2 linked regions of the Lytechinus pictus genome follow. The protein of the gene in region 2 interacts with the protein of the main gene of each other region in a pairwise test. Links are inferred from orthologs where the notes say so. Each region holds a gene or a part of one and is shown on either strand. Other genes may lie near its edges. The genes, in order: abl interactor 2-like and regulator of MON1-CCZ1 complex-like.

What was found.
Region 1: the proteins of regulator of MON1-CCZ1 complex-like (region 2) and abl interactor 2-like interact in a two-hybrid assay, tested with the Caenorhabditis elegans proteins (2 studies listed by BioGRID). The link is inferred for Lytechinus pictus from reciprocal best matches to the Caenorhabditis elegans genes Y50D4A.4 and abi-1.

The regions. Positions count from the first base shown.
Region 1 is NC_087247.1:39,148,366-39,165,654, reverse strand, and holds the start of abl interactor 2-like, read right to left. Parts: upstream 6,936-17,289; 5' UTR 6,864-6,935; coding exon 6,747-6,863; intron 5,528-6,746; coding exon 5,360-5,527; intron 5,038-5,359; coding exon 4,164-5,037; intron 3,601-4,163; coding exon 3,472-3,600; intron 1-3,471.
Region 2 is NC_087261.1:21,294,907-21,312,497, forward strand, and holds the start of regulator of MON1-CCZ1 complex-like, read right to left. Parts: upstream 8,802-17,591; 5' UTR 8,690-8,801; coding exon 8,585-8,689; intron 1,289-8,584; coding exon 1,212-1,288; intron 275-1,211; coding exon 190-274; intron 1-189. Other genes in the region: choline transporter-like protein 1, read left to right, coding at 14,691-14,732.

The sequences.
Region 1 (17,289 bases), on a different chromosome or scaffold from region 2:
AAATGTTGAAATACATGAGAATGATTGGTCAATTTAGGTGAAAAATTTACTTGATACAGACATTTTTGGTAGATGTAGGAAAAACAGTTATAAAAATGAAAACAGATTTTCCAAGAGGGATCTAGACTTTACCTTTCTCAATAAATGGAACTGGATCTCCTTGTTCATCTAAACATGTCAAGAATCCACACAGTTATAAATTACTCTGACCCAAATCTATATACATGAATAGCATTACATTTACTTTACTAGCATTTCTGATGGCAAAATAGTCCAACAAGAATGCATATTTCAGCTCCCACAAATTTAGTTTAATTCATTTCAAATATCTAATACTTTTTATCATCAAAGTTCAGTCTTGTATCTTTACATTGGACTTGGGTGGTATCTCAAACTTATTTTATAGGGCAAGTCCACCCCAACGAAAAGTTGATATGAATAAAGGGAGAAAAATCCAACAAGCATAACACTGAAAATTTTATCAAAATTGGATGTAAAATAAGAAAGTTATGACATTTTAAAGTTTTGCTTAATTTCATAAAACAATTATATTCACATCCTGCTCGGTATGCAAATGAGGAGACTGATGACGTCATCCACTCAATATTTCTTTTGTATTTTATTAAATAAAATATGAAAAATTTTTCTCCTCATTGCCAAGTGAAACAACGATTAATTCCTCCCTGAACATGTGGAATTGATGTTGTTTAATACTATATGGTTCAGTCAAGTTGGTCCTTATTGTCAAATCTGTAAAAAATGATATATTGTATAATTCAAACAATAGAAAGCAAAAGGAATAGTGAGTGAGGGACATCATCGACCGTCCCATTTGCATGTCACTGAGTTGTGCATATCACTGTTTTGTGAAAAATTAGCGAAACTTTAAATGTCATAACTTTCTTATTTCACATCCGATTTTGATGAAATTTTCAGCGCTATGCTTCTTTGATTTTTCTCTATCGATTCAAATCAACATTTCTCTGGGATGGACTTGACCTTTAACTAGAATCCCTATATACTGAAACTGACCAACCAAAGTATATGTTGCCAAATTGGTAGTTTTATGGGGTGATCGTGTGCTGTAGAGAATGCTACACTGTGCTTGTTATAGTGTATTAAATTGGTAACAAATAAAAGTATTAATCACTTTTTTATATTGTTCTGTTCATTACTTATGCATTAGCTAGGGTATACATGCAGATGGACTCATCTGTTGACCAGTTCAAGGAAGCCATTAAATCTCATCTGTTTTGCTTACATGTAGATGACAATGGATTGCATGGACTGTCTAAGCTGATCATTCTGACATGTTGAAGTATTTTTCTAGTGGCCCAAACATGGAGTACTGTGAATGCAAGCGCTTTGTAACCGAAAGGAAAAGGTGCTATATCAACTTTGGATTGGATGGTGTAGAGGAAGAGATCAGCGAATGGCAGGATTTTGATAATCAAAAGAGGTGGCATGGTTTTTTTTTCAGCTGGAATACAGTCACAGTTTATAGATTTGGGAGCTTTCCCAGAACCGTCTCAGGGCCTGAAACTACTGGGATTTCATCCCGATCTCCTATCGGCTAAGTTTTTCAAAACCAATGAGTGGGTCCAAAATATGAAGTTGATTTAAAAATTACATAAAGCACTCCACACGTGTCCTGGATTGGATATATAGGATACTCTCTATAATCCAACCAATGTTTAACTACATGGATTACCAAAAGCATGCATTTGAAATTTATGCCTCTGTGATTGCATGCTCAAGAATATACACCTAAACTCTAAAATTTTCATGTACTAAAACTTTGAAATTGTCACCACCAAAACTATTCAGATAATCTTTACTTTACATAAACATATTGACCCGAATTCGCAAAGGTGGTTTTTAAAACCATCGGTTGAACCCATGGTTTATGCAGATTTCCTGTATAAATTATGCCTATTTATCACGTATATTAAAAAATGTTCAATGCTGATGCGCGCTTTTGTCAGTGTGCAAAATTGATGCCTGTTGCTATGGTTGAGTACATATATGCTAATTTATTCATGAGTCCACTGTTTGAAGAGTGGACTCATTAATTCAAAACAGTGGACTCATAAATAAAATAGCATGGATAATCACAGCAACAGGCATCAATTTGGCGCACTGTCGGAAAAGCGCTCATCAGCATTATCAATATCTATATGCTGTAAATAAGAGTAATTCAAAAAGGAAATCTGAATAAACCATGGGTTCAACTGATGGTCTTAAAAACCACCTGTGATTTCAAGCCACACTGATACAGGGTGTATGATCCAAATCTGACAATGATCCATCAATGATTATCAGTTATCACAAGAAAGAAATATTTTCAGTAATTTCATGTAAAAATAACCTAGTGACCTCTGACGTCATACATGTAACGCCAAAATTTAATATCACCGCTTCTCCAATATGTGATACAAACCAGGTTTAAAGTTAATCCCTTAAACAGTAATAACAAGAACGAGACATTTCAATGTAACATCCTCTGAGCAATTCTTAAAATGATAAACCTTTTGTATGCAGACCCCCATTTTCTCAAGTCTTACTTCACTTCATAAACTAACCAACTCCTGGTCCTTTGAGAACATTGGTCTGTCAAAAGAACAATAAATCAGAGACGAAAAATTTCATGAAGGTCCCACACATAAGGGGTCGGAAACACACATTTTATGGAACTGCCCCTCTGTGACCTTTATCTTTATCCCATTTCCCCAAAAAACAATCAGATCCTCATCACTCCCATGGATCCAAGAGCCAAATTTGCAGCTGACCCCTCATAAGTTTCTTCAATTATGAGAATGAGACAGTTCAATGTACATGACCTCAGTTATTGTCTTTGCTGTTATGCTGAACGCAAGCGATACGTCTGATGTGGCAAAGACTTCGAATTGTGGAAGCGAAGCATCCACTGCCTATAGACTCCCATCTGCCTAATCAATATTCATGTTTATTCAACAAATTGAGACATTTCCATCTTAATAGCCATGATCGCTAAGATAATCATAGATATATGCCTTACCTTCTACTTCATAACGTATTTCTGATTGGTCCAATTTATTTCTTCTTCAAACATATGCATAAGAATTTTTCGTATGAAAAAACAGGCATCATTTCATTGTCGATAATAATAAAGCAATATCCAAAGCAAGACAGGAGTCTATAGGTGGTGGATGCTTTGCATACACAATTTGTAGTCTTTGCCACATCAGACGTATTGCTTGCGTTCAGGATAACAGCAAAGACAATATAACTGCAGACTCCGCCTCGAGTAGAGGCGAATCTTATAATAAACAGCCCATTTCCTTGACGATTAGCTAACCCATTGGCTACTTCCAGTACGCAATGGGTTAACAACATGCACACTTTGCACTAGAAAGATTGTACTACATCTCAAAAAAGCATCTAAAATCAGTATCTAAAACTGGCAAAGAACAGTTCCTGAGTGACACTTACCTTTCTCAATGTACTGCGTGGGAACAAACTGGTCATCATCCACCTGTTCAAACTCTGGAGGTGGAGGCATCACCACACTGTCTTGGCTATATACCATAGAATCCATAGGAGGAGGTGGCAGATCTGAGGCTGTTGATAAAATGGGTGGGTGAAATTGGTGCAAAAGTAACACATTAACAGAGTTATTTCATTTTGTTTCTTTATCATCCAGGGCTCTGTTGCACAAACTGATCATCGATACTAACAGTACTTTGTAATTTAATGATAAGTTCCATGGAAACCTTGATTGTGATTGGAAGTGTAGTAGTATGATAGTTACTATTAATGAAAAGTAACCAAAGCACTGATGATACATATTTTACAGCAGAGCCCTAGTATTGAATGTTGTCATGTGCAGGAAATCATCATCAACAGTGCAATGAAATACATCTGAGAAAGATACAGAATGGTGATTATGAGACATTAGATATTATCAGTGTTTCTCATTTTATATCTGAGGGTGCCTGGTTTAATAATGATCTTCATGCAGCCCGATTCTCACCAAGTGATTGTAATATGACTTGATACTTGAGCATTAAATAAATCATGCATATATCTATGCAACCATGTCATGATTAAAGTGAAAAAGGAATTGAAATGACTGAATTTCTTGGCCTTTACTTCCAAAAGCACTTGAGATGTCCGGAACCTACCTCCCATATCAGGTGGTGGAGGCATCCCGATATCCCCATATGGGTTAATGGAGTTACGTTGGGCTTCTCCTGCACCTGGCCTCATTCCAATAGCTTGGTTCAGCTGGGCAGCAAAATTTGGCTGTTGCTGCGGGGGTGGTTGTTGGGCTGCTGGGGGTGGTTGGTGTGTTGCTGGAGGTAGCTGATGTACAGCTGGTGCAGGTGATGGTGCTGGGGGCATCATACCTCCTATTGGGGGTGCAGGAGGGGCAGGAGGTCCCATATTAGGTGGTGGTGGTTGGCCCATGTTAGTATGTGGAGGCCCACTCATGACAGGTGGTGGAGGTGGCACTTGGCCGACTGGTGCCATACCAGGGTGTGTACCTGGCATGTTTGGTGGAGGGGGTGGGGCTGCAGGTACATTTGGGTCTGGTTGTCCCTGCATGTATCCTGGAATCGATGGCCTTTCCTTTGGTGGCGCCCCGTGGTGAGAATCCCGCATGCCCACTTTACCAATAGACATATACTGTGGTGGTACAGTTGGTGCAACTGGTGGGTGATTGGGCATTCGTCTACGCATGGAGTTGTACGGGTCATCCAGTCGTGGCTGGTAAACTGGCAATGCTTCATATGCTCCACCACCACCACTGTTAGATGTAGAAGTGCTTGCTTGTGAATCTGTTCGTGGTCTACCTGACGTTGTTGAAGGAGAACTAAGTTTGAGACCATGACCTACGTCATCCAGAGCTGAAAAATCAATGGGAGTGGACTTATACTTAAGCTGCTTCTCAGGATTGGGTGGTGTGACAACCTTATGAGTGCGAGGGCAATTCTTATTGGTGGTTAACACACCAATCTCTCGACGTGCTACTTTCTCCTTGTGGATGGCAACATTCTGAAAGAAAAAAAAAGAGAGATTTGTTTACAACTGTACTTTGGCAATTCCACAGATTTGTCGAATAACCACCAGGCTCATGCTAAATGAATTTGCTGTACCTCCAATCACACATTTTATTAGTCCAATACTAAGTACTATGGTGTATAAAGAAACAATAACAATTTTATGGAACAAGTTGGGGGGAGGGCCTAAAACACATCAGACAGTGTGAATTCTTAATGAGTCAAAATCAACATGTACAGTACTTTACATAGAAGAAATTAAATTGCTTCCACACTGTCTTTACCAAGTTGAAACTGAGGAAAAAGATTGAGCTTACCTGTGCTATGTGATTGATGCTAGACTCCATGTTGGCCAGCTGTGTGGCTTGAAGATCTAGCATCTGCAACATACTGGTAGCAAGTGTGTTGATCTGATATGCCACACTGGCAAGAGATTGAGTGGTGAAGTTCTTTGTTTCCTCAAGTGCTCTCCTCTTATCAGAGGCCTTTATCAAAAAGATAGAAAAGGAAATATATGATGAGAGTGATTTGTGTGGTAATGTATGGTAGGATGGGATGGGATTATCTTATGATTTGTTGATGCCTCATTCAGATATGAAGCAACTAAGCTCAGTAATGTTTTTCATAGAAAAAGTGAGACTAATTGCCTCACCTACATCCAAGTAAACCTGTATAATATTTTTCAAGTTTGAAAAGGGCTGAGCTACTGTAGATTTGAAGTCCACATTAGATTGGGGGACATCATGACCACTAAGTTTGAGGGAAGATGACAGTCAGAGGCAAAAATATGTCTTTTTCAATGCCATAATATTCTAAAGATAGGCAGGGAAAAGGCAGTTTCATTAAAATCACTTGGTCTTGGGTGGTTTGTCACTTCACAGGTATTATCTTAATATCCTGTTTCAATTTTTATGTGACTGGTTCATTCGTTTAGACTTCTTTTAATCTTAAATTTTCAGTTTGAGTTTTATTTTTTCATTGTTGTGGAGTCTGTTTGTCACACCTATACATGTAATCTGCGTGATTCTAGTATTTATAGTAAAAGAACAGAAATTTTACGCATGCAATACATAGACAGATATTCATAAAAAAATCTGATTTAAAATGGTGGGAAAATAATTAAATCGTTAGGTGCGCAGGCTTGGGGACCACCATCATAATATAAGTTTGGTAAGTTCCCGTCTGCGCAGTCCCCCTTGTCTGCGCACTTGCGTATCTGCGCGATTCTAGTAAAAGATACGTAATGAACACATTTACACATGCAATACATAGAAAGATATTCATCAAAATGGTGGAAAAATAATGAATTTTGGGCATTTCTTGTGACGGCCTCAAAATGCAGCCTTTCTCAAAATCCCAGAGTGAATGGGTGCGCAGACATGGGGCACCATTTTATTTTCTTGTTCAATCTGAAAGTGAAAGTGAAAATGACTGCCCAATGTTTTTTCCGAAAAAATCATATATTTCATTCAAAATTTTCAAATTATCATGACATGAGATATTTGGCACACTAACTCATAATGATGTCAGGAACATTATCAACTGAAAATTTTGTGAAATAAAAAGAAATATATGTTAAATCTTAACTCAAATTTTAGGTGCGCAGAGTTGGGGACCAATTCAATTTCGACCAACAATAATAACATGACCAACTTAAAATTCTGCGAGTGGGACCGAGGTAATACAAAAATTGATTAAATCTACCTTCCGGTAATTATCTTCGCAATAATTAGCCACATCTTGCAAGTTGTGATGACTGTCCTGTAAAGCCTGTCTTCCAGCAGGAATTTCATTTTCGAAAAGAAGTTCCAACGTTGACATTTTGTACAATTTTGTCCAAGTTCGCAGAAGCTTCCGTGTTCATAAATGGAATTATGGGTAATCTAGGAGTGTCACTCTCACTTCCGGTATTTGGGGAGCGTTTCATGAAATTCGAAAGGATTTGTCGGACGTTTTTCCGAAGGTCATTTTATGGTTTTAATCCGACAGTTACCAAAGTGACATTGCTTCGCACCCAATCAAAATCAAAGAAAGATGTTAGATCTGAAAATTTGTCGAACGAAAACGTTGCATTGATGAAACACTCAGGGCCCCGTCTTACAAAGAGCTACGATCGATCCAGATCCTATCGCGCCCCCGGGATCAACCTCAAGTATATGGAATTTTTTTTATTTGGAAATTTGCACATTGTGCTTTGAAAACAAAGAGAAAAACACTGAATTTTCAAGAAAACAGTAAATGTATTTACATATCTTGGAAATATTTTGAACAAACATTTATTTCAAATGTTGACGTTGCTGGCTTTCCATAATTGTGGTTGATTGGATCAATTCGTACATGTAGGATTGTAAGACGGGGCCCCCGGGGGGGGGGGCACTCGACCAAAAAAGTGGTAGGGGTGTGCCGCGGGCGAGGCAAAAAACGGGGGCCTTATAATTGGAGCGGGCTTATTGTAAAAAGGAGGGTCCTCGGAACTACAAATGTTTGTGAAAACGGGGGTCCTCGGAACGGATCTCCGTATCTCTGTGAGTGCGTATGCATCCCTATGGAACGGGCAACGTGCACGACGCAGCTAGCGCGGCCTCCGCCGGGTGCGCTCGCGCTTAGGCGATGGTCGAAAAGCGCTCTACGGCCGCTTTTCACCAAAATTGTAGCAGATCAATGCGACCGGAACGGCGTAACGAAAAATATGCGAAGCCTTGGAGCGGATTTCTTTCTTCTTTTTTCTCGATAAGAAGGAAATGCTATGCCTTGGAGCGGCTTTCTTTGTTCTTTTTCTCAATAAGACAAAAATGCTATGCCTTAATTGGAACGGAAATTTGAGTGTAAAAATGGGGGTCCCCTCCGCGGCACATACCCACTATGCATTATATACTGAGTGCCCCCCCCCCCCCCGGGACGGGGCCCTGGGTGCGCGTTTCCGTTTTACACCCTGGCGAAGGCATTTTCCGAAAAAATAGCCACAAAGCGACTAGTGAAGAGTCTACGTCTACGTTTGTTTACATAATCAGCTGGGCGCGCGATCCAAAATTCCGCTCCGAAGATATCCGCAGAACATACGTAGACGGGTCAATATACGACCAAAAATAGCCTTACCCGGAACAAATTGCAACAAATGATTTTTCAACGGTATTTTGTACTATTTGACCTCAGGAATAACATACTAAAAATCTACCTAAATCCGCATCCGGGAAAGTGGTTATTTTCAAGATGGCGTCCAAGATAGCCGCCATTCACTGAAAATTGATACAACTGACACATTATCCACCCTAGAATCCTATTTCGTTCTATATTCCATGGTCTGGGGCACAAAAGTTGATTTAGGCAAGAAAGAATTATAAGCCCTCCAGTGTACCAGGCAAATCCAAGATGGCGCCCAAAATGGCTGCCGTGGGCTGAAAATCCACAATTCATCTAAATTTGTTTTTCATTCAATGGTTTTAAGGGTGAAATAGTACATTGAAACTAGTTACAAGGACAGCCAGTGGTCTGGTGTGTCCAAAAATCCAAGATTGCTTCCAAAAACGGAGTTTAAAATGGCTGTTGATAATTAAAATGGACATAGTTCATTTCATATCCGCCTGGGACATAATGATTTTGGTGTCTAGACCACGAATTCAATGGTCAAATAAGACATTGGGACACGTTACAAGGACAGTCAGTGGTCCAGTATGTTCAAAAATCCAAGATGGCTTCCAAAGATGGAGTCGAAAACTGCTGTTGCTACTTAAAAACCCGACATAGTTTGCTCAATGTCCAGAAATATGATTTTTTTTTGTGTCTATACCATGGTTAAATGGGTCAAATAATACATTCGGACAAGTTACAAGGAAAGTCAGTGGGCTGGTATGTGCAAAAATCCTCGATGGATTCTAAAAATTGATTCTGAAATGGCTGCTTATACTTAAAGCGGACATAGCTCATTTCATTTTGGACTGGGATATGTGATTTTGATGTCTAAACCACTGGTTTCAAGGGTCAAAAATATATTAGGATAAGTTACAAGGACAGTCAATGGTCTGGTATGTCCAAAAATCGAAGATGGTGTCAAAAAATTGGTCTTAAAAATATGCTGCTGATACTTAAAACGGACAAAGCTCATTTCATATTGGCCTGGAAAGGTGATTTCTGTGTCTAAACCACTAGTTTCAAGGATCAATTAATACATTAGGGCAAGTTACAAGGACAGTCAGTGGCCTGGTCGGTCAAAAAACCTAAGTTGGCTTCCAAAACTTGATTCTAAAATGGCTGTTGATACTTAAAAGTGGCATAGCTCGTTTTAACTCAGCCTGTGAGATATGATTTCGGTGTCTAAACTATGGTTTCAAGGGTCAAATAATAAATTAGGACAAGACAATGGCAGTCAGTGGCTTAGTACGTCCAAAATTACAAGATGGCTTCCAAAAATGGAGTAAAAAAATGTCTGATGTTACTTACATAAGGACATAGTTTGTTTAACATCTGTCTGGGGAATATGAGTTTGGTGTTAAAAGCATGGTTTAAAAGGGTCAAGTAATACACTAGGGTAAGTTACAAGACCAGTCAGTTGTCTGTATGTTAAAAAATCCAAGATTACTTAAAAAAATGGGGTGTAAATTGACTGTTGTTGTTTAAAAGTATGCATAGTTTATTATAAATACACCTTGGAGGTATGATTTTGCTGTCTATACTAGAGTTTACAGGGTCAAGCAATACATTGGGATAAGTTCAAAGGACAGTCAGGTGTCAGGTATGTCCAAAAATCAAAGATGGCTTTAAAAATGGGGGTCTTAAAGACTGCTGTTACTTAAAAGGGGATGTAGAACATTATAAATACACCTTGGGGATATTATTTTGGTGTCTACACTAGGGTTTCAAGGGCCAAACAATACTTTGGGACTGGTTACCATGATATGCAGCAATTCATTTTGCCTTGAAATCCAAGTTGGCTTAAGAATGGGTTCTAAAGTGACTACCGTTACATAAAATATCTACCTGTTAGAAATAATCTTGGTGCCTACACTTAAATGCATGGGGACAAGTTATCATATTGTTTCATGAGTTGGTAACAGCACCCATTTTGATGAAATTTTAGAATCTTTGACAAAATGGGGTACTAACCATCTTTGTTACTTTTCCGAATGTATTATTTGACCCTTCATACCACAATTTGGACACCAACATTATTTCTTGCAGATGAATATTGTAGAACTCTGACCAGTATTGAATGATATGAGTCGTTTTAGATTCCTTTTTTAAAAACCCTCTTGTGTTTTAGGCAAACTGGACAACTGCATATCAATGTAACCAGTCCAAACGTATTATTTTAATCATGAAACCATAGTGTGGACACCGAAATCATATCTCCTAGGTGGAATTTAAAGGAACTATGTCCATTTTTAAAGTAACAGCAGTCATTTTAGACTCCGATTTTTGGAAGCTTTCTTAGATTTTCGACATACTGGACCACTGACTGTCCTTGTAACTAATTTTCTGCCTTTTGAAACCATGATATAGGCAACAAAATCATATGCCCTTGACGAATAAAACCTAACTATGTCAATTTTTAAATACCATCGCGGCTAATTGATACTATGCCACCGTGGACTTTTGGACATACTTGACCAACAAACGTCCTTGTAACCTATCCCAATTTATTATTTGACCCATTTAACCATGGTATAGGCACAAAAAATCATATTCCCGGATATTTAACAAACTATGTTGGTTTTTTTTAAAGTAGCAACAGCATTTTTTACTCCATTTTTGGAAGACATCTTGGATTTTTTTAACATACCGGACCACTGACTGTCCTTGTAACTTGTCACAATGTATTATTTGACCATTGAAACCATGGTCTAGACATCAAAATCATATCTCTCAGGTGGATGTGATATGAGCTATGTCCATTTTAAGGATTAAAAGCCATTTTAAACTCAATTTTTGGAAGCCATCTTGTATTTTTCGACACACCAGACCACTGGCTGCCCTTGTTACTTGTCCCGACGTATACTACTCCATCATTAAAACAATCGAATGGAAACCAAATTAAAGCCACTTAAGTAAGTAATAGATGAATTGTGGATTTTTTAGACTACGGCAACCATTTTGGGCGCCATATTGGATTTTCCTGGTACCCTGGAGTGTTAATATTCACTCTAACTTGTATAAATAGATTATTTTACCCATTGGATTATGGAATATGAATCCAAATAGGATTCAAGGGTGGATAATGAGTGAGTTATATCAATTTTTAGTGAATGACGGCCATCTTGGACGCCATCTTAAAAATAACCACTTTCCCGGATGCGGATTTTGGTAGATTTTTAGTATGTTATTCCTGAGGTCAAATAGTACAAAATACCGTTGAAAAATCATTTGTTGCAATTTGTTCCAGGTCAAACAATATATTGACCCGTCTAACGTGCAAATGCAGCTGAGCTTATAGACCAAAAGCTTCAGTCTCTGTATTTTCGTTGTACCGCTAAACTATTTACGTTGGCTTCTTGATTTTTTTTTAAACTTTATCGCACATGATCGTTTATATGAATGAAAACAAATAATAGCTAAAATATTGAAAAATAAAACACATAATTACTTTTTTTTTCATATTATATCTATCCTTATATCTATCATATCTGTCTATCCACTATCTGTCTTATAAATCAATCTATGGAACTACATGATATATCTATCTGTTAATTTGTCTATCTACTCTGTCTCTCTCATTCTCTATCTACCTATCTATCTGTCTATCTATCTATCTATCCATCTAACATCTATCTCTCAAATTCTCTATCTATCCACCTGTCTCTCTTTTATTCCTCTCTATCCATCTATTAATCTACGCATGCAATATCAATACTGCTTCGACTTCCTTCGGGAGTCTATTTCCTCAGCTCTACTTTTCCCTTTTTTGTGCTCGATTCGATTAAATTACTACTTTATTTACTTGTTACCATTGTTAAATGTCTTGCATTGCATAATGAGTTTTTTTTTCTGAAGGTTGCCTCCTATTCTCTTTCAAATTCCACCTCTTGCTTTCCCTTCTCTTTGTCTTATCCCAATTTCTTTCCCTTCTCTCACCTCTTTCTTCTTAATCTTTCATTCCGCTTTTTTCTTCTTTGGTGACACTTTGTAGTACTTTTGGCCTTTTGTATTTATTTATGATACATTTCTTTTTCATCTGTATGAATTTGTATTTTATTTGATATTTATTTATAATGTTTACTTTATATTTTGTTATGATTCTATTTGTATGTAAACATTCACTTATTTCAGTCTTTGACTGCTTGTGATTGTATTTTGATAGTTTTTATTGCAATAAAATCCACTATATATATATATATATATATATATCTCAAATTCTCTCTATATATCCATCTGTCTGTCTTTTTCTCTCTATCCGTCTATATATCTATCTCTCAAATTATATCTATATAGATCTATCTATCTATCTATCTATATATCTATCTATCTATCTATCTATCTATCTATCTGTTAATCTTCTCTGTCTCTCTCATTCTTTATCTATCTAACATCTATCTCTCTCTCTCTCTCTATCTGTAGGATCTTATTCAAAGTTAGATAACCCTTTTGTTAAAGTCCATGTTTTGTTAAACTCTTTTGTTAAACTCCATGTACAGATGTGGACTGCATACCTTAGTAACTGAACTATAGGCATGATAGGTTGCCTGGTATTTCAACAGGCTGGGTTGTCATAATAAGTAGACTATAGGTTAACAGGTGTGTAGGATGACAGACTCTTTGTGTTACATATTTCTGTTTGGTGTGCTGGCAAGAAAAGCCAAGCCAGCTCACTCTGACTTCTGATTTTGGAGAGGAAGGTCCGTTTTGGGGTGTTTCCTAACCAAGGAAAAGGGCGTGTGCCACAGTGCGGGCAGGTTCCTTTCTACTCATGCCGAATTGTAAGTAATGTTTGGTTTATATGGTTTTAATGTTAATACAATTCTTATGCTTAATATGGCATGTCTGTTTTCGGAAAGAAAGATAGATTTACATATATATATTCTGCTCATTTTGTCACCAAATTACATATATTTCTTATCTTACTCCATTCCTCAAAGTGAATACAATTATCCTTACTAAAATGAACAAAGTTGTATTTTGCTATTTAAAGTCGTACAATTCTGTGTCATTTATAAAAAGCTTGTTTTGCAAATTATGAATATTTCATGTGATACCTCCGGTGAAGGAAACGTATTTTGCAAGTCTGTTAAAGTCAATTATATAATCGATCTACGATTCAGAGAGAAAGTTAATTATATTAGATTTCTCCACACTGTTATGTATTTTTTGACTATCACAAAGCTCATGCTAATAAAAGCTTGTTATTTATTTACTTTGATAATATGACAGCTAATTTCGATAAGCTGACATCTTTGTGAATAGAAAATTGTTAGGGTCTTTGCTGTTAAGTATTTGGTCTATTCCTATTTTAGGCGGCTGTCAACCTAGGGTCAACCCAGGGTTAATGTAGAGTCAACGTACGTAGGTCAGGGTAGCACCTATACCCGCTATGTCAAGGTCATGAGTCACAGAGGGGAATGACTCACTTCAGTCAGCCGAAGCTTCTGTTCGTCGGACTCGACCATAATTCTTCCTAGTTATAGAGCTTCAACTCAACTATGGTTCTTCGTTCTTCAAGGACACGGTCGTGTCTTCGCTGATGTGCATCGCGTTTTCATCGTCCCATAATTGTTCTTCGTTGTCGTCGATCATCGACATGTTCTTCGTCGTAATCGTCGCCTCTTCGTAGTCGCCGTGGTTTGTCGATCTCTTCTGTTTTTCGAACTCCACTTTACCCGATTAAGACTTTCGGTAACATAATTTAAAGGCCTATTTTTAGATCGATCTCTTCCCATAAACAATCGATGATGATTATATTCCTCTTATGCATATATGGCATTTTATGATTTTTATATGCAAAGATTTATTGAATATCCATTTGCCAATATACTTATGTTCTCAACGATTCAATGTTAATGGCTTATTATATTTTATGACATTAAATTGATCACTTCATTTATATCTTGAATATCCTTTGGTCTTTTATTCAGGGTGGTTAAGTAGCCTGTAGATTAATGAGTTAATTAGAGCAGTTTCGCTCGTGACACTATCTATCCATCTGTCTTTCTCTAGTTCTCTCTCTCTCTCTATCAATCTATCTATCTTCTATCTATCTATCTATATGTAACTACAGTATCTATCTATCTGTTAATTTGTCTATCTTCTCTGTCTCTCTCATTCTTTATCTATCTATCCATCTAACATCTACCTATCTCTCAAATTCTCTATCTCTCTCTCCCCCCTCTCTCTATCTATCTATCCATCTATCTGTCTATTATCTATCTATCTATGTAACTACAGTATCTATCTATCTATAGCATCTCTCCATCTCTCAAGTTCTCTCCCCCCCATCTATCTATCTATCTATCTAACCATCTCTCTGTCTTTCTCTCTCTCTCTCTCTCTACTTCTATCTATCTATCTATCTATCTATCTATCTATCTATCTATCTATCTATCTATCTATCTATCTATCTATCTATCTATCTATCTATCTATCTATCTATCTATCTATCTATCTATCTATCTATCTATCTATCTATCTATCTATCTATCTTCTATATCTATCTTTCGGCATCTAAGTGTATCAATCCATCAAACTTGGTGAGGGACTCGCCTGTGTCGCACGCTGCAACCAGCGACGTGTGTAGACTCTTCACTAGTCGCTTTGTGGCTATTTTTGCGGAAAATGCCTTCGCCAGGGTGTAAAACGGAAACGCGCGCCCTGCGTATAGCGTCTCATGAAAGGACCGTGTCAGACGTTTTATCCGATAAGTCCCATTTTATAATAGTTACAATGGTAACAGAGCTTCTCAGCCAGTCAATATCAAGGAAAGTTGTCAGATCTGACAACATGTATGACAAAAAAATTGTTGATGAAACGCTGTTCCATATATAGCTCCATGGTCTGACTGCCAAGTCTGCATGCAGTGGCGTACCGTGGTTCACGGCATTGTGGGGGGGGGGGGGGGCACCAGCAAATGATTCAGAGCGCTTTTGACCCCCGAAAATATAGTTAAAACTTCAATTTTACAGGATTAGTATTGTTATAATGTAGGTGGAAGTAGTGTGGTTAATTTGAAAGAAAGCACAGTGGCGTACCTGGCATATTTCGTCAGGGGGGGGGGGGGGGGGGTAGTAGGCATGGACGTATAGGCACAATTTTTCAAGGGGGGGCTGATAATCATTGCCCAAATATCAACTTCACAGTTTTTAATTTTCGAGCGAGCGAAGCGAGCGAACATTTTTTTCAATTATTATTTAGCCATTTAACATGATATGAAACTTGCAGAAATTATACATTCCGTCATCAAATTACCAATACACGAGGATGTTTGGGCACCTCGTATTCCTCGTTGCCCTGCATTTTGCAGCCCCCCATAAACGTTTGGATGTGTAGGTCTGGAAGTGGCACTGAAGGTGGGAAAGGTTACCCAGGGGATGCCCAATAAAACAGTTGTAATCTTGCTACTACTGATATTTGCTATCGGGCGATTGCACTTTATTGTCGAAATTATTATTTTTTTTTTTGCATAATAATTCCAGAAATAAAATGTATTGGATCGTGATCGATATATTTCTATCAAGTGGTAATTGCAATGTTTATATTAAAATACTTCTTTTATTCCTCTTTGAAGGTGTTTACATTATGTTCCCAATTCTGCTCATTTGGAGACGTTATAAAAGAGGTATTTGACATTGAAATCAGTTGTATTCATGTATTGATTTGCATTTGTTTTATTTCCATATACACAGTTAAAACAAAAATAAATGCATCCTTTCACTCATAAAAAAAATAAATATGAACGTGAAAATATATGCGACAGTAACATGATATATCACTAGATATGGGGAAAATCACTCACTCACTGGCAGGAATGTCAGAAGGTTGAGGGAATTGAAATGGGAAAATATAGATAGGTGGACGAAGGGATCAGGTACATAGGATAGAAAGGGGGACGGTAATAACCAGAGGAATGTGTAAGCAGGGGTATAACTAGGCCTTTACCCGCGACATATATCAGTACCGATTACTGACGTCCGACGAACAGTACTCATCTATATCCAACCCAGAGGCAGATCCAGGATTTTCAAGGGGGACATTTTGTTTTAAAAAATTTGACAAGCCCCACCCCAAAAAGTCTTCACTTTCAATTGCACGCGCCTAACAATTTACACTAAAATTATATAAAAATAATAATTGCGAGCGCGAAGCGCGAGCTGAAATTTTCTAAAAAACTTAGACCTTAAACGATACATTTTTATGCACTTAACTATGAATAGGATGAATATCTTCCTTAATAAATTATGCGAGCGCGAAGCGCGAGCTAAACATTTTGATATTCCTAACTGGAGACTAGACATTCTAATCAGTTTTACAAGATGGGTATCTAAAGAGTCGTGCGGGCGCAAAGCGCGAGCTAAAACTTTTGATATTCCAACTTAAGAACTGGATATTCTAAGCACTTTTAGTAACCATGAACAAATTGGTTTCTAACTAATCAATTGACGCGAGCGCGAAGTGCGAGCTGAAAATTGTTATAATTATATTACCTGAAAGTTGTTCTCTACTTTTTTCCTGTCCCTGGTCAGCCCAGTCCATGCTCAGAGAGCTCTAAAAGTCGCATTGCGTAAAAATCACAATTTACCGATAAAAGTGTACAGTTAAATTGACATTTACCGACAAAGATGGTGGAACTAAAAAAAACAAATCAGTTGGAACAGCCCCGTGTGCTCGACAGTTTATCATTTTTTCCGACAGTCTGCAGTCCAGTTTTTGTTTTCCCCTTTCTCTTAAACCTCTTTCTTCTTTTTCTCCTTTTTTTTTTTTTGCTTGCGACTCGTCAGGGGGGCAGTCTGCCTCCTGCCCCCTTTTAGGTACGCTAGTGACTCTCACTTTAAGGGGTTTTGTCAATGTTATTTTTCGCCGATTTATTTTTACATTGTTTTCAGTTTACCCCCTTCCCCATTTTTTTTGGGGGGGCTTGAACCATGCACAAAGCTCCCCCTAGAACCGTGCGTGCCCTAAATGCGTATATATAACATATTAGAAGAATTATCCCAAGTTTAAGCGATTTCGGCTCTTATCAAATTCACCAAGGAATTACAATTTGCATCGCTATATAAAAACTTTCTAACATTTCCAATCAGGTAGGGGCAGTGGCGTAACAGGCGGGGGG
Region 2 (17,591 bases):
TTTTGAATGGTGAATGAGCTGACAACTGCCACTCCATAAAAATTGTGGTGTGAATTAACTAAACCATGGCTATACGAATACCGCCCTTTATTTATAATGGTGCAAATGTGTGTGTGGGGTGGGGGCAGGGGAGAGGGGGGGGGAAGGGGCTGAAAGAACCTACCGCACCGGTTACACTTTTATCCTTACCACTGTCCTCTGTGATCTCTGCACAGCTAAGATTCGAAGATCAGATGAGAATTTGATGGATATAACTGGTCCTTTGTCTTCCATTCTGTGATTTCAAGTAAACATAATCATTTATAATCATTAGCCGGGTAATATAGGAGCGCCTTGAGCACCTAACAAGGTGGATATGTGCGCAATAAAAATATCCTATATTATTATTATTATTATTATTTCTGTTTACTATACAAGAGAGTAAGACCTAATACTTGGTAATAAAATCATATATTCAAGATACAACCATTGGAGTATGGAGTGTGCAATACAATTACACGTACATGTTCTAGCATTGCATTTTGATCCTTTTTTCCCCCCTTTTTGTACTGACTTTTCTACATTGTCCCTCTTCCTCTGTACTCTTGATTATGGTTCTCCTTTCTTTCTCCCGTTTTCAGCTTCTGACTTTATATAGCAATTCTTTTCCCCTACCATTTCTCAAAGTAGAAATGTCATCTTTTTATAGCCATACACCCCCTTGCCTTTAGCAAGGCAATAATCTACACGTGCCACTCTCCACCCAGGCGTAGTGACTGCTCAAGGGCATGATCAGGGTAGCACTAGCCATATCATGCTGGGGTAATAGTTTGCAGCGCTTAGAATCCTTAGCGCTTTATAAATCTTGCATATATTTCATCACTATTACCTTCGCCTTTCCCATCCTTTCTCAAACTGCGGGATACATTTCAAACTGTTTTTGTAGCATTATGCAACAGTTCATACATGTACATGTAGAATGACTTAAATCTGATCAAAAAGCAGAATTTCTAATATTTTGTTTATATTGTAAATGGAGATTACATGTACCATTTTAAGATATCATTGATGTATGATTCATCAATTCATGTATGCATAGCCCCCCCCCCCCCCCCTTACTTCCACAAGCATTCTGTATGACTGAGATCATGATTATCTAATAGGTCACTTTGACTTGGGTTTAACTTACAAGTTCATGACTGAAACTGTATTTCTGAAGAAAAATAAGTTACCTAAATGTTGTGCTTGTCTTTTCGTCCGGTCCTTTAACAACTACTCCAAAGGCTCCTCCTGATCTCACAGCGAACACCTGAAACAAAATAAAAACGCATTATCCAGAATTATAAACTATTTTCTTTGAATCCTATCTTAGAAAGTACATTTCTGTGTATATTATTACACATCATGGGAGGGATATACATACATACATGTACACTGTAACCGAATTGTCTAAACTCAGAATAAAGAAAAATATGTGCTTGGCATTACAAGAATTCATTTTTTTCTTGCATTTGGACATTTTGACATGCATAGACAGTTCTATGACATTTGCTCCAGCCACAATTGCTCTGAAGGAAAATCTGCACATTAAGCCAAACATAACTTCCTTAACTAACCCTAATCCTGATCCTTATCTTTATTCTGAACCCAAAACTCTTATTACAATCCTAAGTTCTGTAACCCTATGCCCTCTGAGATATTAAAGACACGAGCAAATGTTGCAAGATCCGCACAGACATAATCCATTTATTGCGTGATTTGGGGGCCACAAGATCCAAGGAGTGCATCAGTGCTTAAGTTCATTCATGGTCATCAAAGGCCATAGCTTACATGTACATGTAGGAGTCTCCAGTCACCGAGACCATCTTACATGTACATGTACATATCACAAAAAACCTGGCTGGAGACACTTGCTCACTGCAACCATCCTGCCTGTGGGGAATCTACAGGTAGGACTGTGGTATGCCAATGCTGTGAGCACACACTTTAAAAATCATTAAAATATCACTTTTTGTGACCAAAATTACTAATTTCCATACAGTTGCAATTTATTTTCATTAATAAATTGGGAATAGCTGTAATGGAAACTGACAGTGTAAAAAAATTAAGCATTTGTCCCAAAGATAAAGAGAAAAGAAGCCAACCATTGCCAACCTTATTTTGTCACTCATGGAGATGTAACAGAGAACAAGGTTATATCACAACCTTGTTCATTGAATGAGTGGCTAGAGACAGGACTTTCAATCACCATTAAAGCTTCCAATAGGTTACCTCTTACACTCAGACAATCGCCATCGTTAATTAAAAAAGGCACTTGAAACATTTGTATTTTCCATTTCAGATTTTTAGGATTGAAGGTTTCATCTTATAAGATATAAGGAAAAAGTTACAAATTTTATATAAAGATTCTTGGTAACTTTTTCCTTATCTTATTGTAAGTATTTGGGGCCATTGTGGGAAAAGCAGTCATATATTTTAAAAATACATAACTAAATATAAAACGTTAACAAATAATTACCGTATATAATATTGACTGGCCTTGAGGGGAACATAAAATATGTCGCCCGCAACAGAATTATATTGGCCCGAGTCTTTAGACAAGGGCAATATGGTTCCTTTAAGGGCGACATATTTTATGTTTCCCGAAAGAAGAGCCAGTCAATATTATTATTATTACCTAAAGCTGTACAATGTGTAATTCAAGCTACTATTCGGAACAATTTATATGCCTGTTTGCTTATCACTACTTCTGATTTCAGGTTATTCACGACCTTAGCGATGTAACCTTTAATAAGCAATTGTGTATGAGGCGCCGAATGTACCAATATTATATAGAACAATTATTTGTTATATAATCATTATTTATTAAATAATAACTATTATTTATATATAATTTACATTTTATTTGTAAATAACTACTATTATATAAAATATCATTTCTAATTATTTATATATAATTCCAAGTAATACTTCATTATTTGTAAATAATAATAGTTCGACATTCCATTATTTATAAATAATGATTATTTGTTTTTCATTATTTATAAATAATGATTATTTGTTTTTCATTATTTATAAATAATGATTATTTGTTTTTCATTATTTATAAATAATGATTATTTGTTTTTCATTATTTATAAATAATGATTATTTGTTTTTCATTATTTATAAATAATGATTATTTGTTTTTCATTATTTACAAATAATGATTATTTGTTTTTCATTATTTATAAATAATGATTATTTGTTTTTCATTATTTATAAATAATGATAATTGGTTTTTCATTATTTATAAATAATGATTATTTGTTTTTCATTATTTACAAATAATGATTATTTGTTTTTCATTATTTATAAATAATGATTATTTGTTTTTCATTATTTATAAATAATTTGTTGAGTTTTCCATTATTTATAAATAATGATTATTTGTTAAATAATGAAAACGTCTACTTCATTATTTATAAATAATTTTTTCGAGTGCACCATTATTCTCATTATTAATAAATAATCATTATTTAATGTTCGAGTTTTCCATTATTTATAAATAAAGATTATTTGTTAAATAATGAAATATCTACTTCATTATTTATAAATAATAATTTTGTTTCAATATCCCATTAATCATTATTTATAAACAATTTTTACAGTTTGCCATTATATACAAATAATCATTATTTATATACAAATAACCATTATTTATTAAATAATGCCATTATTTATTAAATAATGCCATTATTTATTAAATAATGCCATTATTTATTAAATAATGCCATTATTTATTAAATAATGCCATTATTTATTAAATAATGCCATTATTTATTAAATAATGGAAAACTCGCTATAACATGCAAATGTGGGACCGCCCATGATATGAATATTCATGATGCGATTTCCTTTTTCGTGATTTTTCTTCACAAATTTTTGTCCATTTCCTCTTCATAATGACATTTCTTGAAGCAATTTTCTAGGGATATGGTCTGATTGTAATATTATTCATTTTCTATATAACTTCGTCTTCGTAGAAATATCAAAAAGTGTAATTTTATACGATTTTTCCTACAGTTCACAATCCCCATAGGCGCGCGTGTACGGTAGGGACAACCGGTGAATCGACGGAGTGCTCTTCATCGAAATACTACGTTGGTTGGTCCGCGGAAGTGGCGGGCGGAATTTAGCCCGAATCCTCGATGGAAGTCGATCAAGTGCATATGAGCTGAGAGAGTGAAATATCAGTGTACTTGTACAGGCCCTTCTACTTTTTATAATTATTTCTTGTTGCTTTTTTGTTAAGTTAATTTTTCCTGGTGTAGAGATAAGTTTCAGTTCTAATAATGCACTTCAAATACATTTTGGAGTGTCTGTTTGAGGCGTTTGGGGCGATTTCACCCTGGCCCCAAAATGCTCGCAACGACAATACGGGGGCATGATGACCCCTAAATTTTTAAAAACTTATTTTTCTATTGAAAATTATCTCAAAATTCACCAAAAGTGTGCACGAAAGCCTTCGTATTTCACTTTTAAAACTCCAAAAAGTGCCCAAATGACAAGCTTGGTCGCTTCGCTGTGTCGCATTCAACTTGAGAACGTTTACGCGTCTGCTTCGATATATCCCCCCCCCCCTCCTCCGAAAGAAATTCTGTATACGGCCATGCTCTAAAGAGCCTGGCACATTGATTTATGTATACTTTCATTTTCATTATTTTTATCTCATTATCAACATGGCCTTACGCAGAATTTTTTCCAGGGGGGCCGGGGCCGGAGCATGACGCGCGTAAACTTTCTCAAAAAAATCTTGAAAGCGAGACAGCCACGGGACCAAGCCCAAATGACAAGCTTGGTCGCTTCGCTGTCTCGCTTTCAACTTGAGAACGTTTACGCGCGTCTGCCCCCACCCCCCGAAAGAAATTCTGTGAACGGCAGCATATGGCACATTGATTTATATGTACTTTTCATTTTCATTATTTTTATCACATTATCATCATGGCCTTACACAGAATTTTTACCGGGGGGGGGGGGGGAGCAGCTAGGACGCGCGTAAAGTTTCTAAAAAAAATCTTGAAAGCGAGACAGCGACGCGACCAAGCTCAAATGACAAGCTTGGTCGCTTCGCTTTTTCAAGATTTTTATGAGAAAGTTTACGCGCGTCCTGCTCCCCCCACCCCCCCCCCCCCCCCCCGGAAAAAATTCTGCGTAAGGCCATGATGATAATGAGATAAAAATAATGAAAATGAAGTATACATAAATCAATGTGCCAGGCTCTTTAGAGCATGGCCGTATACATAATTTCTTTCGGAGGAGGGGGGGGGGGGAAGCAGACGCGTAAACGTTCTCAAGTTGAAAGCGACACAGCGAAGCGACCAAGCTTGTCATTTGGGCACTTTTTGGAGTTTTAAAAGTGAAATACGAAGGCTTTCGTGCACACTTTTGGTGAATTTTGTGATAATTTTCAATAGAAAAATAAGTTTTTACAAATTTAGGGGTCATCATGCCCCCGTATTGTCGTTGCGAGCATTTTGGGGCCAGGGTGAAATTGCCCCAAACGCCTCAAACAGACACTCCAAAATGTATTTGAAGTGCATTATTAGAACTGAAACTTATCTCTACACCAGGAAAAATTAACTTAACAAAAAAGCAACAAGAAATAATTATAAAAAGTAGAAGGGCCTGTACAAGTACACTGATATTTCACTCTCTCAGCTCATATGCACTTGATCGACTTCCATCGAGGATTCGGGCTAAATTCCGCCCGCCACTTCCGGGGACCAACCAACGTAGTATTTCGATGAAGAGCACTCCGTCGATTCACCGGTTGTCCCTACCGTACACGCGCGCCTATGGGGATTGTGAACTGTAGGAAAAATCGTATAAAATTACACTTTTTGATATTTCTACGAAGACGAAGTTATATAGAAAATGAAGAATATTACAATCAGACCATATCCCTAGAAAATTGCTTCAAGAAATGTCATTATGAAGAGGAAATGGACAAAAATTTGTGAAGAAAAATCACGAAAAAGGAAATCGCATCATGAATATTCATATCATGGGCGGTCCCACATTTGCATGTTATAGCGAGTTTTCCATTATTTAATAAATAATGGCATTATTTAATAAATAATGGCATTATTTAATAAATAATGGCATTATTTAATAAATAATGGCATTATTTAATAAATAATGGTTATTTGTATATAAATAATGATTATTTGTATATAATGGCAAACTGTAAAAATTGTTTATAAATAATGATTAATGGGATATTGAAACAAAATTATTATTTATAAATAATGAAGTAGATATTTCATTATTTAACAAATAATCTTTATTTATAAATAATGGAAAACTCGAACATTAAATAATGATTATTTATAAATAATGAGAATAATGGTGCACTCGAAAAAATTATTTATAAATAATGAAGTAGACGTTTTCATTATTTAACAAATAATCATTATTTATAAATAATGGAAAACTCAACAAATTATTTATAAATAATGAAAAACAAATAATCATTATTTATAAATAATGGAAAACTCAACAAATTATTTGTAAATAATGAAAAACAAATAATCATTATTTATAAATAATGAAAAACAAATAATCATTATTTATAAATAATGAAAAACAAATAATCATTATTTATAAATAATGAAAAACAAATAATCATTATTTGTAAATAATGAAAAACAAATAATCATTATTTATAAATAATGAAAAACAAATAATCATTATTTATAAATAATGAAAAACAAATAATCATTATTTGTAAATAATGAAAAACAAATAATCATTATTTATAAATAATGAAAAACAAATAATCATTATTTATAAATAATGAAAAACAAATAATCATTATTTATAAATAATGGAATGTCGAACTATTATTATTTACAAATAATGAAGTATTACTTGGAATTATATATAAATAATTAGAAATGATATTTTATATAATAGTAGTTATTTACAAATAAAATGTAAATTATATATAAATAATAGTTATTATTTAATAAATAATGATTATATAACAAATAATTGTTCTATATAATATTGGTACATTCGGCGCCTCATAATTGTGACGTAATTGTTACATGTACCTTGCAGTCGCGCATCATGCATGGCACGCACATACACTCAACGCATAGAAATCTTGCGCCTTGGTTACGTTTGTGTATGCCGCACTGGCCTCGCCGCGCATTGCCTACAATGTGTTGTACTTTGTTTCATGAACTGGTTCCAGCAAGATTTCTGAAATACTGAAATTAGCGATCAGAATCGGCTCCAACTGCGCAAGCGCATTAGCAGAAATATGGCCAATATTGTCCTCTATTTTGTACAGGATTCCTATGGGCAAAGCCCGGGGAGGGCAACATGGCAAATTTATTATTTAACAAATACTAAAATTTAATAAGTGATTATGAATATAAATTATTATTATAATATTTATAATCACGTATTAAATTTTAGCCAAGGCTCCATGCATGATGAAGAAGTATATATGTCAAAATAATAAAAAATATCATCATGGAGTCCTCAAGGCTATGTAGGACCCCCTTCCATAATTTGGCATAAATGTTTTTTTTGTCCTAGGAACTGAAAACAAACAGGGGTGGTATTCTGAGATCCATTTTATCTCAGATAAAATAAAATATTTTATCTCCGTTAAAATCAGTGAGATAAAATACCCTTAAAATCTCTCCGAATTGGTATTCTGAGAACAATTTTATGTTCATTTTATCTCTGTAAGACACACCTATTTTTTAATCAATATCCAATTAGAAACGCGCTTTTATAGCTCTCTCATATCACTCAACCAATGAAAATCCATTCCGCCAGGAGGTGTGGCAAAGGAGTGAGATTGCGTCAATTTATTAACTTCAATCACGCTTGCAATATACGCTTGCGCATTTTTACAGAGATTTCTTTTTAAAAAATGACAATATATTCATCTTTTTTCGAAGTCTATATTGCATCTTTTCAAGCATCATTTCAAAGACAATATTAGTCAAGAAAAGTCTTATGAAATTCTTCCTGATTGTACAGGAATAACGTTAAGGTATTATTTTCAATAGGCCTAAATATATAATTTTTCTTCATTTTCATGTCAACATTTGTAGTTAATTCACCAAGAAATAATGATGAAATCAACGTCGCGGAGATAAAATAGCCCCTACCCTCTTTTAAGTTTATTTTATTTTTTCTTCAAAGAAGTAACATGAGCGCAAGCACATCATTCGCGTTGCAATGCCATTGCCAATGGCCAGAAGCCCAGATACGCGATGGGTATGTCTACGCACATGACGCAGGCACTCCTCTGTTGCGTATCATCTGTAGATACGCAGATACAATTTCTACGCAAGATAAAATGACCTCAGAATACGTCCCCAGACCTCTAACGTTAGTCGTTTTTTCCGTTAAATCCGATCGACGTCCGACTCAGCTCAGACCTCAGTCTCACTCTCAGACTCAGATCAAGCGCAGCTTCACACGCACACGCCCACATTAACATCCGAACCAGCGACTAATGACGGTGTAGATACCCGGAAGCTCTGGCGACAATCAGAGACAGCGTTCCGCCGGAATAGTGTTTTCGCAGCTCACTTACCTGTCGTTTTACCTCATCGTAAAATACGTTGGTCTGACGGCTGATAGGTTCAAATCTTATCGGATTTCCCGACAGTTCTACATAGTGTGATTGGTCCTCAGCCATATTTGTAGATATTCTTCAACAATTTCGGTTAGAAGAACAATTTTCAATATAATTTTACCAGGACTCAGTCAACTCCACATTCGCGATCTCGTGACCTTCAGCCTTCATCCTTTGAACCTGTTTTCACGCACAAGAAACGAGCTGGGGCCGATTGCACGAAAGGGTCTTTCCAAGGACCGTCTTTCGTGTTGCCCATCTCCTTATGATGCGCTGTATGCGGGATATTTCTGAAATGTATGATAAGCAAATATAATTTGTTAGCTAGCATTTAAATCAATTGGTATACAATTTTATTATATATTACATCATTTTATAACCATAGATTTTGTTTACTTTAACGGATGAATAAATTATGTTTGCAGGTAATTTATTTAAAATGCGTTTCACATGGCGCATCATAATAAATGGGCGACACGAAAGACGGTTCTTGCAAAGACCCTTTCGTGCACAGTACTCGACTGTGCATGTTTCGGGCGCCCAGTGATTCCTCATTTGTTCTTTCTTTCTTCATTTCTTTCATTATCCTTTTCCCATATTTTTCTTTCGGTCTTTTTCTTTCTTTCTCTTTCCTTCCTTCTTCCTGTGATCATTCATTCCTTTAATTCTTCCTTCTTTCTAGCTGAGTATCTCTCTCTCTCCCCTAGCTTCTAGCTCGATCCCTTCCCTTTTCCCCCTTTTTGTTTCTTTCTTTCTTTCTTTCTATATACTCTCTTCTTTTATCAGGTTTCTCTCGATCTCTACTTTATTCTGGACTGTGAACTCGTCAATGGAAGTCGGGCTGTGGAACCCCTAGCTATATAAGGGCGGCGGAGCGAAGTTGAAAGTGGAGGGGGGGGGGCAAGGAAAAAAGGGCACTTTGGCTTTCGAAAAACAGAAGAAAAAACTTATCTATACAGTGCTGTAATGTGCCCACATTTTTTAGGGGGCTAGATATGTCTCATCACGTAACATTTATATTTTGAAAGTTTTCTAATGAAAATCCAATTTCGTGATAGATTAGGATTACTCTTTTTTTTCATAAGTAGTAACGTATATGTTTTCCTGTTTCAAACGGGCACTCTTTGACACATAAAACGGGTCTTCTCAAGTGAAAGGGGCACAGAGCACATTTTTTAGAGGCATTTTTTTTTAGGTAAAAAGGGTCACTGATACAAGAAAGGGCACTAATAAGAAAGCAAAAGGGCACTTGCTAACGACATAAAACGGGTCCTTCTCAGGTGAAAGGGGCAAAGAACACGTTCGTGATCGAGGGGCACTTTTCTTGGGTAAAAAGGGGCAATGATTCGAATAAGGTCAGGAAGGCAAGGGGCACTTGTTCACGTACATAATTAAAACGGGTCCTTCTCAGGTGAAAGGGGCACTGAACACGGTCGTGAGGGGGCATTTTTTGGGGTGAAAATTTGGCACTGATATAGGCCCTGTAGGAGAAATATGGCACTTGTTAACAAATAAAACAGGTCCTTCTCAGGCGAAAGGGGCATATACGTTCGTAAGGGGGCATTTTTCTTGCCTAAAAAGGGCACTTTTTTCGCCGCCCCTGCCCTTAGCTAGCTGCCCACTTTAGCAGGAATTCAGCCTACGATAAAGGTAAAAATGTGTCAGAATCAATATTGCACCCCCCCCCCTCCCGGAAAAAGTAGATATGCCTATTACAAAAATATCTGTATCTATATCGTTCAGTCAGCAAAATACCAGGATTGGCACATGACGCTAACATGGCTAACTTGATTGATGAAAAGTGACTTGGAGAACATGGCGAACGTATATTATAATAGTACTTTTGCTTTTTACTTTTATTATTACCCATTTACAAGACAATGATTCAGCATGGCGAGATATAACCATGGCAACTGTAAGATAAAATTTGAAAACCTAAGCCCCTTTCACAATTATTGGTGATGCGACTGCTTACAACCGTTGCGATTGTGTGCAACATATACTGTGACCAAAGTGGTTGCAACCGATCGCAAGTCTCGATTGTGAAAGCTTTTTAACAGAAATAGATCTTAAAGTATGTTCCCCCCCAAAAAAAAAAACACCTGCGTACAGCTCACTGAATTCTAGCCCCCCCCCCCCCCCCGATGGAAAATGATGGAGAATTGGCATCAGGAGGCAAAAAAGGTGAGGGATCAGCGGGCATCAAATTTCCGTTGCGAGCGTGAACAGCGAGCGAGCCTTATAATCGATTCTAACTTATTTTGGGCAAATATACGAAGTTATAAGCCATATTTGGGTCAAGATTATGATGCTTAATAATGACATGATAAAAGTAAAAACAACATTATTGTATGAACATTTTTGGGAGCGCGAGTCCCCTCCTCCAGAAACATCACTCACCCCCCCCCCCCCCGGCTCCTGATGGGGTGTGGAGAGAATTACACAAACGACAGGGGCGATTTGCCAATGGTTTTATTTTACCGTGTTACTCCATAATAAATATATAAAGCCCTGTGAATATCCACCCACTTAAAGGACATATTAGCATTTTGTGGAATAATTTGCTCGCCTACTCATTTATTTTTTTACTCTTTCTTGAAAAGCTGCCATAGTTGTGGCTCGATCCTATCGCAGCATTTCGAGGTCGCTTGTACCATACCTTGAGTAGCTAGAACGCATCACCTAGAGGCCCGTGGTATCATAGACAAAAATCTGTTGCGTCGAAGCCATGTGAAATAGGACTACAAAATACATGACATAGGTAACAGTGTGATATTGGACGCATGCAGCCAGACAGTTTTAATACAGGATTGCGCTTAATTATGTTCATAGAAGACAGTGGCTCCTAAATCTAATACTGATTAGATATACTAGCTGGAATATATTACACCCTTTCAAGCCATCGTATTCAGCTTTTTATACGTAAGGTAGGATATAACATTATTTTGAAATGATTGTCGCTCCCCAATCTTTCAGTTGATTTAACATTTCATTTTTTTAGTTGAAGATGGTGATGATGATGGTAAAGATGATGATGATGGTGATGATGATGATGGTGATGATGATGATGACGATGATGATGATGACGATGCCTGATGATGATGATGATAATAATGATGCATGATGATGATGATAATGATGATGATGATGACGATGACGACGATGGTGATGATGATGATGATGATGATGATGACGGTGATGATGATGATGATGACGACGATGGTGATGATGACGATGATGATGATGATGATGATAATGAAGAAGAAGAAGAATATATAATGGGGATAAAGATGATGATGATGATGACGACGATGGTGATGATGATGATTATGACGATGATAATGATGTGCTGGTGGTATTTGCGGTGGTTTAATGATACACACACGTAAGCACAAAACTATTTTTTTAATTGAGAGTAAAGATATATCATTCCATGATTAATTGCAAGAGACCAGAGCAAGTAAGCAATATAATATATACCTATTTTTAATATCAACTTTCTAATTGTCCCTATGATAGCCCTGATCGTGTCCCGTGAGTTTCTTAATATTATCTTTGTCTGTATCAGGGTTTTAAACTTTTAATCCAATAATGTGAATGAATAAAACTCCTGATCAGAGGTTACTCATAATAATAAAAAACAAAGATGTTAAATCAACATTATTTTGGTGATCCGTTTTCCAAGTTAACCATTACATTTTGTAAATAGTAAAAGCAATTAAGAAAGTGGGTTCAAAATTCTATTAGACAAGTTCAATTCTATCTCTTCCCCTGCGACAAGCAACGTGGAGGGAGAAAGAGAAGCATTTAGATCATAGGTCGTACTCAAATTTCAGGATAGGGCAGCGATGTCAAAAAGCTTGGGAACAGTGTCAAAATATGAAGCACTTTTTAAGGCTCTATTGCAAGTTCATCAATAAAGAATATCCTATTTTGATAATTCGAAGATTATGTTCCAAGTGTTCTGATGAAAACTAACGCTTTTACAAAATTACAAGCGGTGCGTTTAAGCCTATATCACTCTAACAACATGTTGTTCAAAATGTCTAAACAATTATTTAAACTTTTTAAACATGTTAGAATCTTTAAACAACTGATGGGCTTAAACAACTTGCTTTAAAAATTCAACAGCGTTCATTTCTGGCATAATTTAGGTATAACTGACGAAGAAATAATGAAAAACAAAACAATGAAAAAGAATTTTTGTCTGTCGATTCACTTCATAATTATAAAGACAAGCTTATAAGATTCATGCGATGTTACACTCTCACCAAAGAAACGACCCCTGATCGATCAAAGCTATTACATTATTTCCAAAGACATATATCATCTGTCGGTTTGGAGTCGGTGTCGTTGGTGTGACTAGGACCTCATCGGGTACCTGCAGAAATGAGCAGGAAATCACAAATTCTGATCATGGATGTGGATTGCATTATGTATTTTCGGTCGTCTTGGTTACGGGGACGCTCCAGCTGCTGTTTTCTGTATAGTCACCTGACATCATGTATATTGGATTTGGTGTTTTGTAACTTCATAATGTCGATGGTGTAATTGAAAGGAGTGATGGCAGTGGGGGGGGGGGGGGCATTGGCGGCGGAAGCCAGAAAATGTAGGGGGGACCACCAAAAATTTTTGACAACAAAAAAGACAAACAAAAGTTATATATCAACCAAAATTTTAGGGGGACCGACAGAATTTGTTGACAAGCAAAAAAAAAAAAAAGGTTATCAACAAAAATTTTAGGGGGGATCGTCCCCCACCTCAAATTTAGGGGGGACCTGTCCCCCCGTATCCCCGTTTCCGCCGCCTATGGGGGGTGGGCAGTGGCGGATCAAAGGGGGGGGGGGGTGGTGGTTTAACCCAAACTTCGGGCTCCCTAAAAACATAATTATTAAAAGGAGTGTGGGATCAAACTCCAACACCCACTTCCCTGTCTAGAGGTAGGACGAATTACGTCGCAGCTACTTGTAAACTCCCTCTTGGCAAAAAGCTGGATCTGCCATTGGAGAGAGGGGGTCTGCAGACTCAAATGTGATAGACGGAAGGGGATTTTCCCTAATCATGCCAGTGCTCTAGGTACACCAACGAATAACCGACTCCGTTGGTATATCATTGGTAATCGCATTATCTGTTTGCAGTTTCACGAGATGTGATCATGGCGGGGGGAGGTGGAGGAGGAGAAGGGGAGGAGGGGAGGAGGGTAGAGCCTACTCATGCCTTTGTGTACTGAAGGCCCTCTCGCACAGGAATTTAATATATGCTAGTATTTGTGTTAAAGGGATGGTCCAGGCTGAAAATATTTATATATTAAAACATAGAGTAGAGCTCACTGAGCAAAATGCCGAAAATTTCATCAAAATCGGATAACAAATAATAAAGTTATTGAAGTTTAAAGTTTAGCAATATTTTGTGAAAACAGTCGTCATGAATATTCACCAGATGGGCTGATGATGTCAAATCCCCACTTTCCGTTTTTTTTTAATGTTATTACATGAAATCATAATTTTTTATTATTTCATACTTGTGTGAATAATATGTCTCCCTTATTATAAAATAAGTTGCAGCAATTAATATCTAATGCACTAAATCAGTTGTCAATCCAATTTTTCTAGTTCTAGGAGGAAAAATTTGAATAAACCTAATTTCATATAATAAAATACAAAAGAACAAGTGGGGATGTGACATCATCAGCCCACCTAATGAATATTCATGACGACTGTTTTCACAAAATATTGCTAAACTTGAAAATTCAATAACTTTGTTAGTTGTTATCCGATTTTGATGAAATTTTCGGCATTTTGCTCAGTGAAATCTACTATATTTATTAAGCTATAAATACTTTTAGCCCGGACCATCCCTTTAAGAGCCACTTGTTGATCGAAATTTCAATCAGGGCCTGTGCTTGCAGACTAGGAGGGGGATTCCCCCTCAAAGATGTTAGGGATCAGTTACAATTCTCCGGAAGCTTTATCGTATTATATCAGAATTTTATATTTTATTCTATCGCCTCAATTTTTTCATTGTATTTTTACTTTATTCAGAACATGCCTAAACGTGAAGAAACATGAGTTGCTGTGGTGGCCATAACCGTGTGCGACCTTTTGATGTAAGTACATTGTCAAAATTACAATCTAAAGTGTTAGGTAGCTTGTTTATTTGGACAAAATTGGATATCAGTATTTTTATGAGATACCATAAGAAGTTACCTAAAAAAAAAAAAAATAAAGCACTTGAGTAATAAAAAAAAATGACAACAGATGTTAATATTTTGGGTGGGCATTTTCTCATATCGACTTTTTTTTCAATATTTTTATCTCCTCTTCTACTCCCCCCCCCCTCCCCCTGCCCTAAATATACTAACCTAGCTTTTGAGAGGGAGGTGCATGCAAAAATGAATTTGATATTTTTTTTTCCAAATCCATCGATCGCTTTTATGCGATTTTTTAAGATTTGTTTTCATGGTTAGAAGGGGATGACCTTCTCCAAATGGGTTGCTTTTCAAAAGCCAAAATTTGGGGGGACATGGACGCCCCCCCCAACCCACCCGTAACAGAAGCGGATCTAGAGGGGGGGGTTGGGGGGTTGCAACCCCCCCCAAAAAAAAAAAAATCCGGGGACCATTTTTTAAAATCTTATCTTTTTTTTAAAACTTGTAATTTTATTTTATTCTATTTCTATGTATTTATTTCATTTATTATTATGATTATTATTATTATTATTATTTCTTTTTGGGGGAGGGGGGGGGGTTGGGCGAACAAATGTCACAGAGTCCCTTGCCCCCCCCCCCCATCAGCTTTTTTGAGGACACGGGCCACCGCCGAAGTGACAAGCTAGGCCAGCGTTGCCGATTCTCACCCCCAAAATCCCCACATAAAAAAATTTAAAAAAAAAATGGGGGGATTGTTGAAGTCTTTGGGGATGAAAAATAAATATTTGGGAATGAAAGTTCCAGCAAAATAGTTCAGGGATTTGTACAGAAACATCCAAGGCGTCTCTTCTGCCAGTCCATCATATTTGACTGAGATTTGCCAGTGAGTATCAGTGACAAGCTGTTCATAATAAAAGTATTAGGCTAACAGTGCTTATTCCAAGGTCCCCAATTCTTTGTATCTGTGTTGTTAACTGGCCTTACATTGCAGGAAAATGCAACTTAATTTTACAAATTTTCATGGGGGTTAATTTGGCAACGACCTCTATACCAAAAAGAGTGGTGTTTTAGATGCAAGAAAACGCCATTTTCACACACAGATTTTCAAAAATTTTCCCTACTGTGGGAGGGGGGACACCCCCCTCCCACACCCTCCCCCCTCGCTCGCTCCGCTCGCTTGGACTCGGTCGCTACGCTCCCTCGCATACCACCCCAAACCCCCCCCCTTTATAAAAAGCTGGATCCGCCCCTGCGTAATCGCCGCCCATGTGGATATTGATTCCCCTCGGACTGAATCGTTTGTGTCTGTGATTTCTAACTGATTGTGATGAGAGTGCGCGTTCAGTGCACTGCGCATCAACAATGAATACACTTTATTACGTCACACATTCTCATTCGCCGAAACGATTAGCAAGTATCGCGCATGCGCAGCAATGGCCAATCTCGTATAGCAACAAAATGTGTTATGTAATGATACAATAAATTTTCAACACTAAAATTCAGACACAACTCACAGCTTAACAAACAAACAAACAAGCAAAGGCTACCCAGAAAAGCAAGCAATAACAAAAAGAAGAATAAGACATGCAAGAGCTGAATTGAAGAGAATGAAGTAAACTTGTTAAACTATTGTACAAGAAAACATAGTTGCTGTATTGAAAATGGGCGGAGTATTGGAAACAGAATCGGAAGAACCGGAAACTAAACCTGAACCAGCGAAAAATTTACAACAAATTGAAAAAGGTCGGGCAAGTTCGTCCAGTAAGAAAGTGAGTATAACCAGACAATGTATTTTCAAGATAAAGACGACATTAGATTACGTTTATTTTGTAAAACAATACGCCAACGGATACTTTTCCAAAGGCGATATTAAGAGTTCTGCGTTATTATTTACGAAAATTAATCAACTGAATTTGCAAGTTGGTTCGAATTCTAAATCAAAATAATTGTAATCTACACTGTTAAAAAATAATTTAAACAACACTGTTTACTATGTGAATCACACAGTAGTTGTTTAAAAAGTTTAAACAAGTGTTTAAAATCTTGAACAACCATGCTTAAATTTTTAATAATTGAATATTTGAATTTATACTTTGTTTCAAACACTTGTTCAAGATGTTTAAACCACTACTGTGCGATTCACATAGTAGACAGCGTTGTTTAAATTATTTTTAACAGTGTAAAAAGAAAATACTAAATGCTAACTTTTAATTGCTGATGCCCTTCTTAAAAGAAAAGAAAAATAAGGTTGATATATTTGTCGATTGTCAAAGACCAACACGAGATGGACATCGCACTGTAAAATACTTTAGTCCAAGTCATCAAAAAGTCATTAGCACACTCTTGTTAACAGTCTGATAAAACTGAACGTCATTATTGCTAATTCGTATTTCCGAGAAAGTTGGCAAGTGGGTGGAAAATAACATGAAAGCACTTCGGGAAGTAAAAAGCGTTGGAAATTTGATTATCTATCCGATGCATTTGTCAAAAAAATAAAAAAATAATGATAATAATTATAAAAATCTCAAAATCACTACACAATAATATCATTTCAGATTTGATTTGTAGGGAGCCCGTTTTGCACAATTACACAAAGGAACGATGGTGCACACATTGTATAGGGGCGACTTCCCTATAAAAACACGAAGAGAAATGAAGAAAATAGAAAGCAGAGGAAAGGAATTTTATAGAAAAGAGATGTGTTGGTCGTGTTTCTTATATAGGGTCTCCTATACACCTAAAACAAAAACTATTATCCTTCTCATCATTATCATTATAATAAGTTTAATAATTGAATTTGGTATGCCTATTTTGTAA